Macaca fascicularis: one gene and its partner. Each later gene encodes a partner of the first gene's protein in a complex. Links are inferred from orthologs where the notes say so. Each region holds a gene or a part of one and is shown in the gene's direction. Other genes may lie near its edges.

Region 1 (4,276 bases):
AGCCCGGGCCTCCAGCCTCACCTCCTTCGGAGTTCCAGACCCCTCTCCTACGGAGAACCCGGGGATCGGACACCCTTCCCTCCCCAGGCCCAGGCCCAGCCCCAACCCGTCCCGCGCACCCCAGCGTGGGTCGGATCCAATCCCCGGCAGATCCACAGGCGGTTGCGCCAGCCCCGAGCTCTAACGCGCCTCCGGGGCCGCCCCGCACCCACCAGCCTGCAGAGACCCTGCAGCCGTGTAACCTCGCCTTGCCACTGGGCGCCGCCACCCCGGCCCACCTGAGCTGCTCGCCGGGCAGGAGGCGGCCGAGCAGTCCCAGCCCGCGGGCCGCTGCGGCTCCGGCCACGCCTCCCCCGCGCAGCGCGCCCCCGCGCCGCCTGCTCCTTCTGGGCGCCCGCTGGGCCGCGCGGATCGGGGCGGGGATGAGGCCACGGTCAGGGTCCCGGGCGGGCAGGGAAGGAGCCCCAGAGCAGGCGACTGGAGCGCGAGTCGACAACGGGACTCGAGTCCAGGTCCACACCGGGCTCCGAGCCCCGAGAACGTGAAGGGGCAGGGCTTCGGGCTCGGAACAAGGAGGAGCCAAAAGCTTTGGACCCGAAGGGAGACAGACGGGATCCGGAAAGGAGGCGGGGTCTGGAGCTCGGCGTGAGGGATGAGGCGCGGTCTCCGTTCGGGTTCCTTCGGGCACAATCGGGAGCTTGAGTTCACGGGAGGCGGGGCCACAAACTTCGGCTCACTTCGGAGATAGTCGAGAACGGAGCGCTGGGGCTACTGTGGGCGGGGCCACATGTTTCGGCTTTCTTCGGAGATAGTCGAGTCCTTAGTGTCACTGTTCCGATGTGGGCGGGACCACAGACTCGGCCGGATGTGGGTGGGGCCATATGCTTCGGTTTACTTCGTAGATAGTTGGGTACAAGGGACGCTAGGATGATAGGCGGAGTCAACAGGTTCGCGAGATGCTGATAAGGATTTACAAGGGGGCGGGGCGAAAGCGGCTTGCCCTCAAAGGGGCGGAACCCCGAGGGCCGGCGTGCGCCTAGGGCACGGGGCCAGGGTGACGAGCCTCAAGTTCCCAAGCTGAGGAGAGGAAGCGGCAGAGGGAGGTGCGCTCGGTGGGGCGGGGCCAAGGTGGTCACCGCAGGAGGAGGGCGGGGCTTCGAGCCTGCGAGGGGCGGGTCCTGACTCCCCCCGGCGCTGACGGGGCGGGATGACGAAGTTGACGAGAGGGTCGGCAAGAGCGGGTGGAGGAAGGAGCGCGTGGCGCGGTGCGTAGTGGGTGGCTCCGCCTCGACTGCGAGTTAGTGTTTATGAGGTGACTCGCTGGTTCTGTCGGTGGACCGTGGGACATTCTGAAGGGAAGCAAGGAGGCGGACTGAGCGCTCCCAAGTGGGGTGAGCCCGCCCGAGGGGAGAGCGGACGGCGGGTGCCCAGGGGGCGGGGCTTTCGGCTATGGGGTTCGGTCGTCGGGCGGGAACTCCCCATCGGGGGTGCGCTGGCGCTCGGAGGGGGCGGGGCCACAGCCTGCGGGACTGCCGGGAGCCGATGACGCCCGAACGCCGAACCTCAGGCGTCCGGCAGGAGGCGGGGCTACGGATTCGGCCGAGCCGAGAACACCCGAACGCCAAATTGCTCGCGTTCGAGAAGGGGGCGGGGCTGCGGATTCGGTGACGCCAAGGACGCCCGACCGCCGCAATTCTTGTGCTCTGAAGGGGGCAGGGTTTTGTACTGTTGGAGTCTGAGCGCTTGTAGACCCGAAAGCCGAATCACAGTGGTTCGGAAAGAGGAGGAGCCAAGGCCGGAGCGTCCCGAAGTGGGTGTGGCCTTGGCAGTGCCTTAGCCTCGAGAGCTTCTGACCCCTGAGGGGGGCACCCGAAGGGGGACGCCCACTTTGCAAGAGGGTGGTGCCAAAATGGACCTTTGTAAGGGGGCGTGTCGCCGCGCTTGGGGAGGTTTGTTTTTGAGACTCCAAGGCGCAATGGTAGGTACGGCAGTGTGGGCACAAAGCGGGTGCCGACTGCAGGGTCACAAGGGTAGAGCAGGGCCCCGGGGACGCGGCGAGGGGCGAGGGCTGCCGGTCGGTCTCCGGCGGCCGCGGGGCCTGGCGGGATCGCCCTGGGGTGGGGCCTGGCGCTCCGGCCCAGCAGGTGGTGAACGGCGGCTGAGCGAGGCCCCGCCCCCTGAGGACTAGGGGCGGGTCTTCGCCAAGACCCCGGAGGCTTTGGTTGTGCTCCGGTGGCCCGCGGCGCGCAGCCGTTTCGGTAACTGCTTTGCTTCCCGGCTCCCGCAGGAGGATGCTAGTGGTGGAGGTGGCGAACGGTCGCTCCCTGGTGTGGGGAGCCGAGGCGGTGCAGGCCCTCCGGGAGCGCCTGGGTGTGGGGGGCCGCACGGTAGGCGCCCTGCCCCGCGGGCCCCGCCAGAACTCGCGCCTGGGCCTCCCGCTGCTGCTGATGCCCGAAGAGGCGCGGCTCTTGGCCGAGATCGGCGCCGTGACTCTGGTTAGCGCCCCGCGCCCAGACCCTCAGCACCACAGCCTGGTAAGGGGGCGGGGCTCGAACGTCTGGGTTCGGTGGGAGCGGGACTTGGGAGTCAGGATTCCTGGTTTCCGAAGGGACCGTAAGCTTGGAGGTTCCAGCGACGTGTGCTTCTCAGGCCCTGACAGCCTTCAAGCGCCAGCAAGAGGAGAGCTTCCAGGAGCAGAGCGCCTTGGCGGGATCCCTGGTGGGATCATAAGGGGGCGGGGCCGGGACCCCTGGGTTCGGTGGGAGCCGGGCCTGGGAGTCAGGATTCCTGGCTTCCGAAGGGACCGTAAGCTTGGAGGTTCCAGCGACGTGTGCTTCTCAGGCCCTGACAGCCTTCAAGCGCCAGCAAGAGGAGAGCTTCCAGGAGCAGAGCGCCTTGGCAGCTGAGGCCCGGGAGACCCGTCGTCAGGAGCTCCTGGAGAAGATTACGGAGGGCCAGGCTGCCAAGAAGCAGAAACTAGAACAGGCTTCAGGGGCCAGCTCGAGCCATGAGGCTGGCTCGAGCCAGGCTGCCAAAGAGAACGAGACCAGTGATGGCCAGGCTTCGGGAGAGCAGGAGGAAGCCGGTGAGTATGGGAGGTGGAGTCCACGAACCACGGGAAGGAGAGGAGAGATCTTTTGGAAATTTTAGCTGGGAATCCAGTGCCTGGGTCTCCCTGAGGGTGAGAAGACTTTGCCCCTTGGATTTACCAAACTCTTCTCTGTACTCCCCACCAGGTCCCTCCTCTTCCCAAGCAGAGCCCTCAAATGGGGTAGCCCCCTTGCCCAGATCTGCTCTCCTTGTCCAGCTGGCCACTGCCAGGCCTCGACCTGTCAAGGCCAGGCCCCTGGACTGGCGTGTCCAGTCTAAAGACTGGCCCCACGCCGGCCGCCCTGCCCATGAGCTGCGCTACAGCATTTACAGAGATCTGTGGGAGAGAGGGTTCTTCCTCAGTGCGGCTGGCAAGTTCGGAGGTGACTTCCTGGTCTATCCTGGTGAGTTTGGGTTGGGGCCTCTGGTTGCTGTGCCTTTCCATACGATCCCAATGTATTCTGCGTTTTTTTTTCTTTCTTTTTTTTTTTTGTCTTAATAGAGATGGGGTCTCTATTGTTGCTCAGGCTGGTCCCGTTTCCTGGGCTCAAGCAGTCCTCCCACTTTGGCCTCCCAAAGTGCTGGGATTACAGGCCCAGCTGCATTTTTTTTTTTTTGTCTCACTTTCTCTTAGCCTCTGAAATTCATAGATGGACAGGAAACATTTTGGAGCTCCTGAACTCATTGGGAAAGCAGTTTAGCAACTTTTATTAAATGTTTACTATGATCCAGAAGATTCGCTTAGAAGTAGTTAGACATCAGGCTGGGCGCCATGGCTCACGCCTGTAATCCCAGCACTTTGGGAGGCTGAGACAGGTGGATCACCTGAGGTCAGGAGTTTGAGACCAGCCTGGCCAACATGGTGAAACCCCGTCTCTACTAAAAATACTAAAACTAGCTGGGTGTGGTGGGTAGGCGCCTGTATTTCCAGCTACTCAGGAGGCTGAGGCAGGAGAATCACTTGAACCCAGGGGGCAGAGGTTGCAGTGAGCTGAGATGGTGCCATTGCACTCCAGCCTGGGGAACAAGAGCGAGACTTCGTCTCAAAAAAAAAAAAAAAAAGTCTAGAGCGGAATAGTTGGGTCCAAGAGCATCTGTTTTAGAGTATCCATAGTGATTGCTGAAATGATCTCAAATCTCCTCCCAGTGGTCATTCCTGTGGCATCCAGCCCTCTGCCATTGGTCA
Region 2 (4,271 bases), on another chromosome or scaffold:
TAATTTTCCTGGCTAGATTTTAACTGAAAACTCTCTCCCTTTTGGAGATAGCTCTGGTCTCAGCTCAGATCTTTTGTTTTTAACTGAGCTGCTGTGATTCTGTTTTGGGTGGTTCAGGATCTCTCAGAGATGTGGGTTGACAGTTTGGGGATCCACTCTCTGACTCCTTCCTTGGGATTTCTTAATCTCTTCAGAATTCAAAATTTTCTGTCTTCACTTTTCTGCTTCCCCAGATAAGAATAACTGACAAGTTTTATACATGCACACTTGGTACTGCTGAGCCTGACTTCTGGACTGCACTTTGCCACAAGCTAAATGCCAAAGAGAAAGGAATTTTCTTGTGGAGTTCCTGATCTTCAAGTAAGCTTGCCCTTCCTACCAGTCTGCTGTTCACATTCCAGTATATTCAGCTTTTTGTATTGTGTTGAAGTGGAGTTCCTCATCTTCAAGCAAGCTTGCCCTTCCTATGAGTCCACTGTTCACATTCTAGTATATTCCGCTTTTTGCATTGTGTCCAAGTTGTTTTCTGCTGGAGGATGGTCCAGTAGGGTTTTAGTCTATCATGGTTGAAAACAGAAGTTATGTCCTGCCTGGGACTTTGGATTTTGAGTAACCCTTGTCCTGTTCAATGTGATCGCCTCCTAACCAGTCCGTTTGTGTCCTTGCTCCCTCCAGTCTATCCTTAACATATCAGTCTGAGTGATCCTATGAAAATATGACAGGAGCCTCCAATAGCTTCCCATTTCACTCACAGTAAATTTAAAAACACTTAAAATGTGCTACTCTGTCTGTCTGAAACTCATCCTTGGCTTCCAGATCACATGCTTATGCTAGTTTGTATCCTACCTTTCTGAACACTCATTCAGCAACTCGTGTTTCCTCTAATCCTGAAACGTGGGTCCACCCTGAAACTATGGTTCTACTTTAAAGTTCTATGTCAGGGCACTGAGTTAGGCTTTTCCCGTTCCCAGCAATCAGAAACCAGGACCCCACTGCTGAAGGCAAAGAGGACGTATGTATCCCCCAACTTTCTCAGAGAGTCATCGGCAGCACTGACTTAAAGAGGATTAAGAGCTTCTGGGCACAAGCTACTCTTTAATATTTTTCACGCTAGAATTTGTTCAGATTTGAATAAACGCAGTGCGAAACTAGAGAGCGTTCGCGCAGGTTCTAGCTACCTTGGTCAGAAGGAGGGGATGATGCAACTTTCCTCCCAGTTTCTGAGCCCTCTCGCGCGGCCGCTGCAAGCCTCGGGGAAGCGGAACCCACAGGCGCGTGCGCCGCTGCTTCTGGCCGGGCGCGGGTAGTGGTGCACCACGGGAGCGCCGCACCGGCCGGCATGGAGGAGCGCGGCGATTCCGAGCCGATCCCCGGCTGCAGCGGCCTGGGTCCGGGCGGCGTTCGCGGCTTTGGCGACGGCGGCGGAGCTCCCTCGTGGGCCCCCGAGGACGCCTGGATGGGCACCCACCCTAAGGTCAGGAGGCGCGAGAGGAGCAGGGCGCCGTCCAGGCCCCTAACCCAGGCAGAACTCCCAGGCAGCTGTCTTTCTTTCTCCCTCAGCGGGAGAGCTGAGGACGCGCGCCCCCCTTACCGAGGGGGACCGGTGTGCACAACTGCCAGCCTCAGGCAGCATCGGTTTTGTTTGTTTAAACAAGTTGCACTATCCCCCGACACTTTCCCAACCCCCCAGCCAAAGCCATTCTGGAACTGAGAGCCAGACAGTAACTCCGCCCCCCTCAAGCCGGAGATCCCTAATAAGCGCTCCACAGGTTTTGCTGTCTAGGTAAATCCCCTTTGGGGGATAAATTTATTTAATCCTCACAGTAACCATGCAAGACAATTTGTGGGCGATGGGTAAGGTCTGCGGGTCCATAATGATAAAGATTTAGGCACAGTCACGTTTACACTTAGCCTTGGGCCCAGAGTGCATCTTTATTTTGCAAAGGTGCAGATTCTTAGTATTTCAGATTTCTTCGAAAGTTTGAATAGGTTCTTGCTCAATGCAGAGCTACTCACATTTTGCGTGTCTTTTTCTACATTAGCAGCAAGCGAGATAAAGATAGTCCCCTGCTTGCTTCTGCTTGAGACATTACTGCCTTGTACCAGTAAGGTTCCAAGCAGTGAACAGGCAGTGAATGGAGATGTGGGTTTTGTAAGAATCTCAAAAACTGGTCTGTACGGTACTTTAACAGAATTGCGCTCTTCTGCTAGAGAGCAATAATTCGTAATCATCTAAAAGCAGCCAAGAAAAAATTTAAAGGTGTAAGTTTGAAGAGTTAACCTTTTTCAGCTTCTCTTGCTTAATTTTATCTTCCTACTCTGTCCCCTTCATCCTCCCAAAAGGTGAGAAAAAGAAACAATAGCATGGAAATATTATTTAGTGCCCTTTTAGGGAAACAATAACATGCAGAGGCAGCATATTGGTTAGGAGCGTGAACTCAAAATCAGACTCAGTTTAAATCCTGATTCTGTCACGTATCAACCTTGTAATTTGACACAAATTGCTTGATCTCATTATGCCTTAGTTTCCTCACCTGAAAAATGGGGATATTAATAGTCCATACTTATAGGTTTGTTACAGGATTAAATTAATTAATATTTGTAAGACATTCAACATACAGAGAGCACTATATAAGTACTTAATAAATGAAACACCAGTAACAACTTTTTAAAACCTTATCTAGATTTGGTGTTGTTATTCGGTTTATATACTTGTAGATTGTTTTCTTTTTCAAGTTAATGGCTGTGTGCACCCTGACCATCAAATCTCCCCTTTTGATTTCTCTTCTTGAAGGATCAGATTAATTTTTAGAAGAAAAAGAAAAGAAGTAATAAAGCAATAGGGGCTGTTTGTTTTTCCAATTTCACCTTTCTCTTAATTTGAAAATTATGTAGGTTCATCCAGTAAAATGGTATCAGACTTATTATCCTCTAACACACTTTTATTTTATTATTCTCCTGCTTAGAAATCCTCAGTGTTTCCATACTGATAAAATCACACGTATAGCTTGACCACCAAGGCCTTGTAACCTGGCTCAAAATTGTTTTGGGTGTTATTTTCAAAACATGTTTGAAGTAGACAACTAATAACCCTTATCCTCCTGTAACTGTATCGTCCAGTTACACGGAAGCTGATGGGAGAATGTGACTTTAGACCTGTCCCCATGCAGGTCTGCTAATAATTCAACTCAGCATTAGCCCTGCATATCCACCTAGTCACTGGCATAGCTGGGCAGCCTCAGAATTCTCCTGCAGGTGTAGACCCCTGGAAAGTGTTCCCCTTATGCTGACCAGTAGTCTGAAAGAAGCAGCTTTCTCTAGTTCCTTGTCAATCCCTTTTAAAAAATCTAATGATGAAATAATTCCCTACTCTTAAAGTAAGAAAGAGTGGGTAGAGAGGTTAGGACTGATACTCTAGCAGATTCTCTCCATATGCAAATAAGAGGCTAGGGAAATACACAGTACCCACCAACATGTCCCGACACAAATTTTATTAAAAAGGTTTCTCTATTGCTGGCAGATAGGTTTCTTTACAGGCCCTTGAATGTGTGTGGCTTAATCCCACCTTTGTGTGATTACCTGCCCTATTACTCTACGTCTCCATTTACTTAAATCATAATGTTCTTCAGTGCTTAACTTGTATCCCATCCCACCTCTGCTATAAATCTTTCACCAGTCCCTCTGAGTAGAGCTCTTCTGACCTGCTGTGTCATGTTTTTTATTCCGTTTACCTGGTTTTTAATCACTTACAGTCATATATTGTTATTTGCCTAACAATTTTAAGTGTGCATGTATTTAACAGTTGCAAGTTCTTTAGAGACAGCGATCTCTAAGACCTTATATTGCATTTTAACTTCCACTATACCTAGAAGAATTTTATAGATTATATATACTTAATGACTACTTGTTGATTGAAAGAAAATATTAAATAATTTTTCCTTCTCAATTTGACAATTATATTTTATTTTCAGTATTTAGAAATGATGGAATTAGATATAGGAGATGCCACTCAAGTTTATATAGCATTCTTGGTTTACCTGGACCTCATGGAAAGTAAGTTGTTTGTTTATATTGTTTTGTTATTGGGACTGTGGTAGGGATTTGGGGGGTTGGATTGGGATATAGCATTCTTAACATTATAATAAGCAATCTTTTATGCATTTGCTGTTAATTTTGCAATTTATTTATTTACATTGGGAATTATTGAGTAACAGAAGCTATTAGAAAAGCAAAGATAGGAGGTAGTGTTATGAGTGATATTTGCTCAGCTG

The links.
Region 2: the proteins of TSEN34 (region 1) and TSEN15 are in contact, whole or in part, in a crystal structure (PDB 6Z9U), measured with the Homo sapiens proteins. The link is inferred for Macaca fascicularis from reciprocal best matches to the Homo sapiens genes TSEN34 and TSEN15. Residues at the interface, in NP_001070914.1 of Homo sapiens: Pro251, Leu252, Arg253, Phe254, His255, Ala256, His257, Tyr258, Pro265, Glu266, Asp267, Thr268, Ile269, Pro270, Leu271, Gln272, Leu274, Ser283, Val284, Arg285, Lys286, Thr287, Leu289, Leu290, Cys291, Ser292, Gln294, Val300, Tyr301, Thr302; in NP_443197.1 of Homo sapiens: Leu70, Lys74, Trp76, Thr108, Pro109, Ile110, Thr111, Ala112, Ser113, Leu114, Ser115, His116, Asn117, Ile119, Arg120, Leu123, Leu141, Ile143, Val151, Tyr152, Tyr153, Lys154, Leu155, Thr156, Asp157, Gly158, Phe159, Met160, Leu161, Pro162.

What each region holds. Positions count from the first base shown.
Region 1 is NC_088393.1:61,997,874-62,002,149, forward strand, and holds the start of TSEN34 (tRNA-splicing endonuclease subunit Sen34), read left to right. Parts: upstream 1-1,193; 5' UTR 1,194-1,307; coding exon 1,308-1,312; exon of another isoform or gene 1,313-1,982; intron 1,983-2,287; coding exon 2,288-2,534; intron 2,535-2,841; coding exon 2,842-3,085; intron 3,086-3,236; coding exon 3,237-3,494; intron 3,495-4,276. UniProt on the Homo sapiens protein: Constitutes one of the two catalytic subunit of the tRNA-splicing endonuclease complex, a complex responsible for identification and cleavage of the splice sites in pre-tRNA. It cleaves pre-tRNA at the 5'- and 3'-splice sites to release the intron.
Region 2 is NC_088375.1:41,596,924-41,601,194, forward strand, and holds the start of TSEN15 (tRNA-splicing endonuclease subunit Sen15), read left to right. Parts: upstream 1-1,305; 5' UTR 1,306-1,339; coding exon 1,340-1,474; intron 1,475-3,971; coding exon 3,972-4,053; intron 4,054-4,271. UniProt on the Homo sapiens protein: Non-catalytic subunit of the tRNA-splicing endonuclease complex, a complex responsible for identification and cleavage of the splice sites in pre-tRNA. It cleaves pre-tRNA at the 5' and 3' splice sites to release the intron.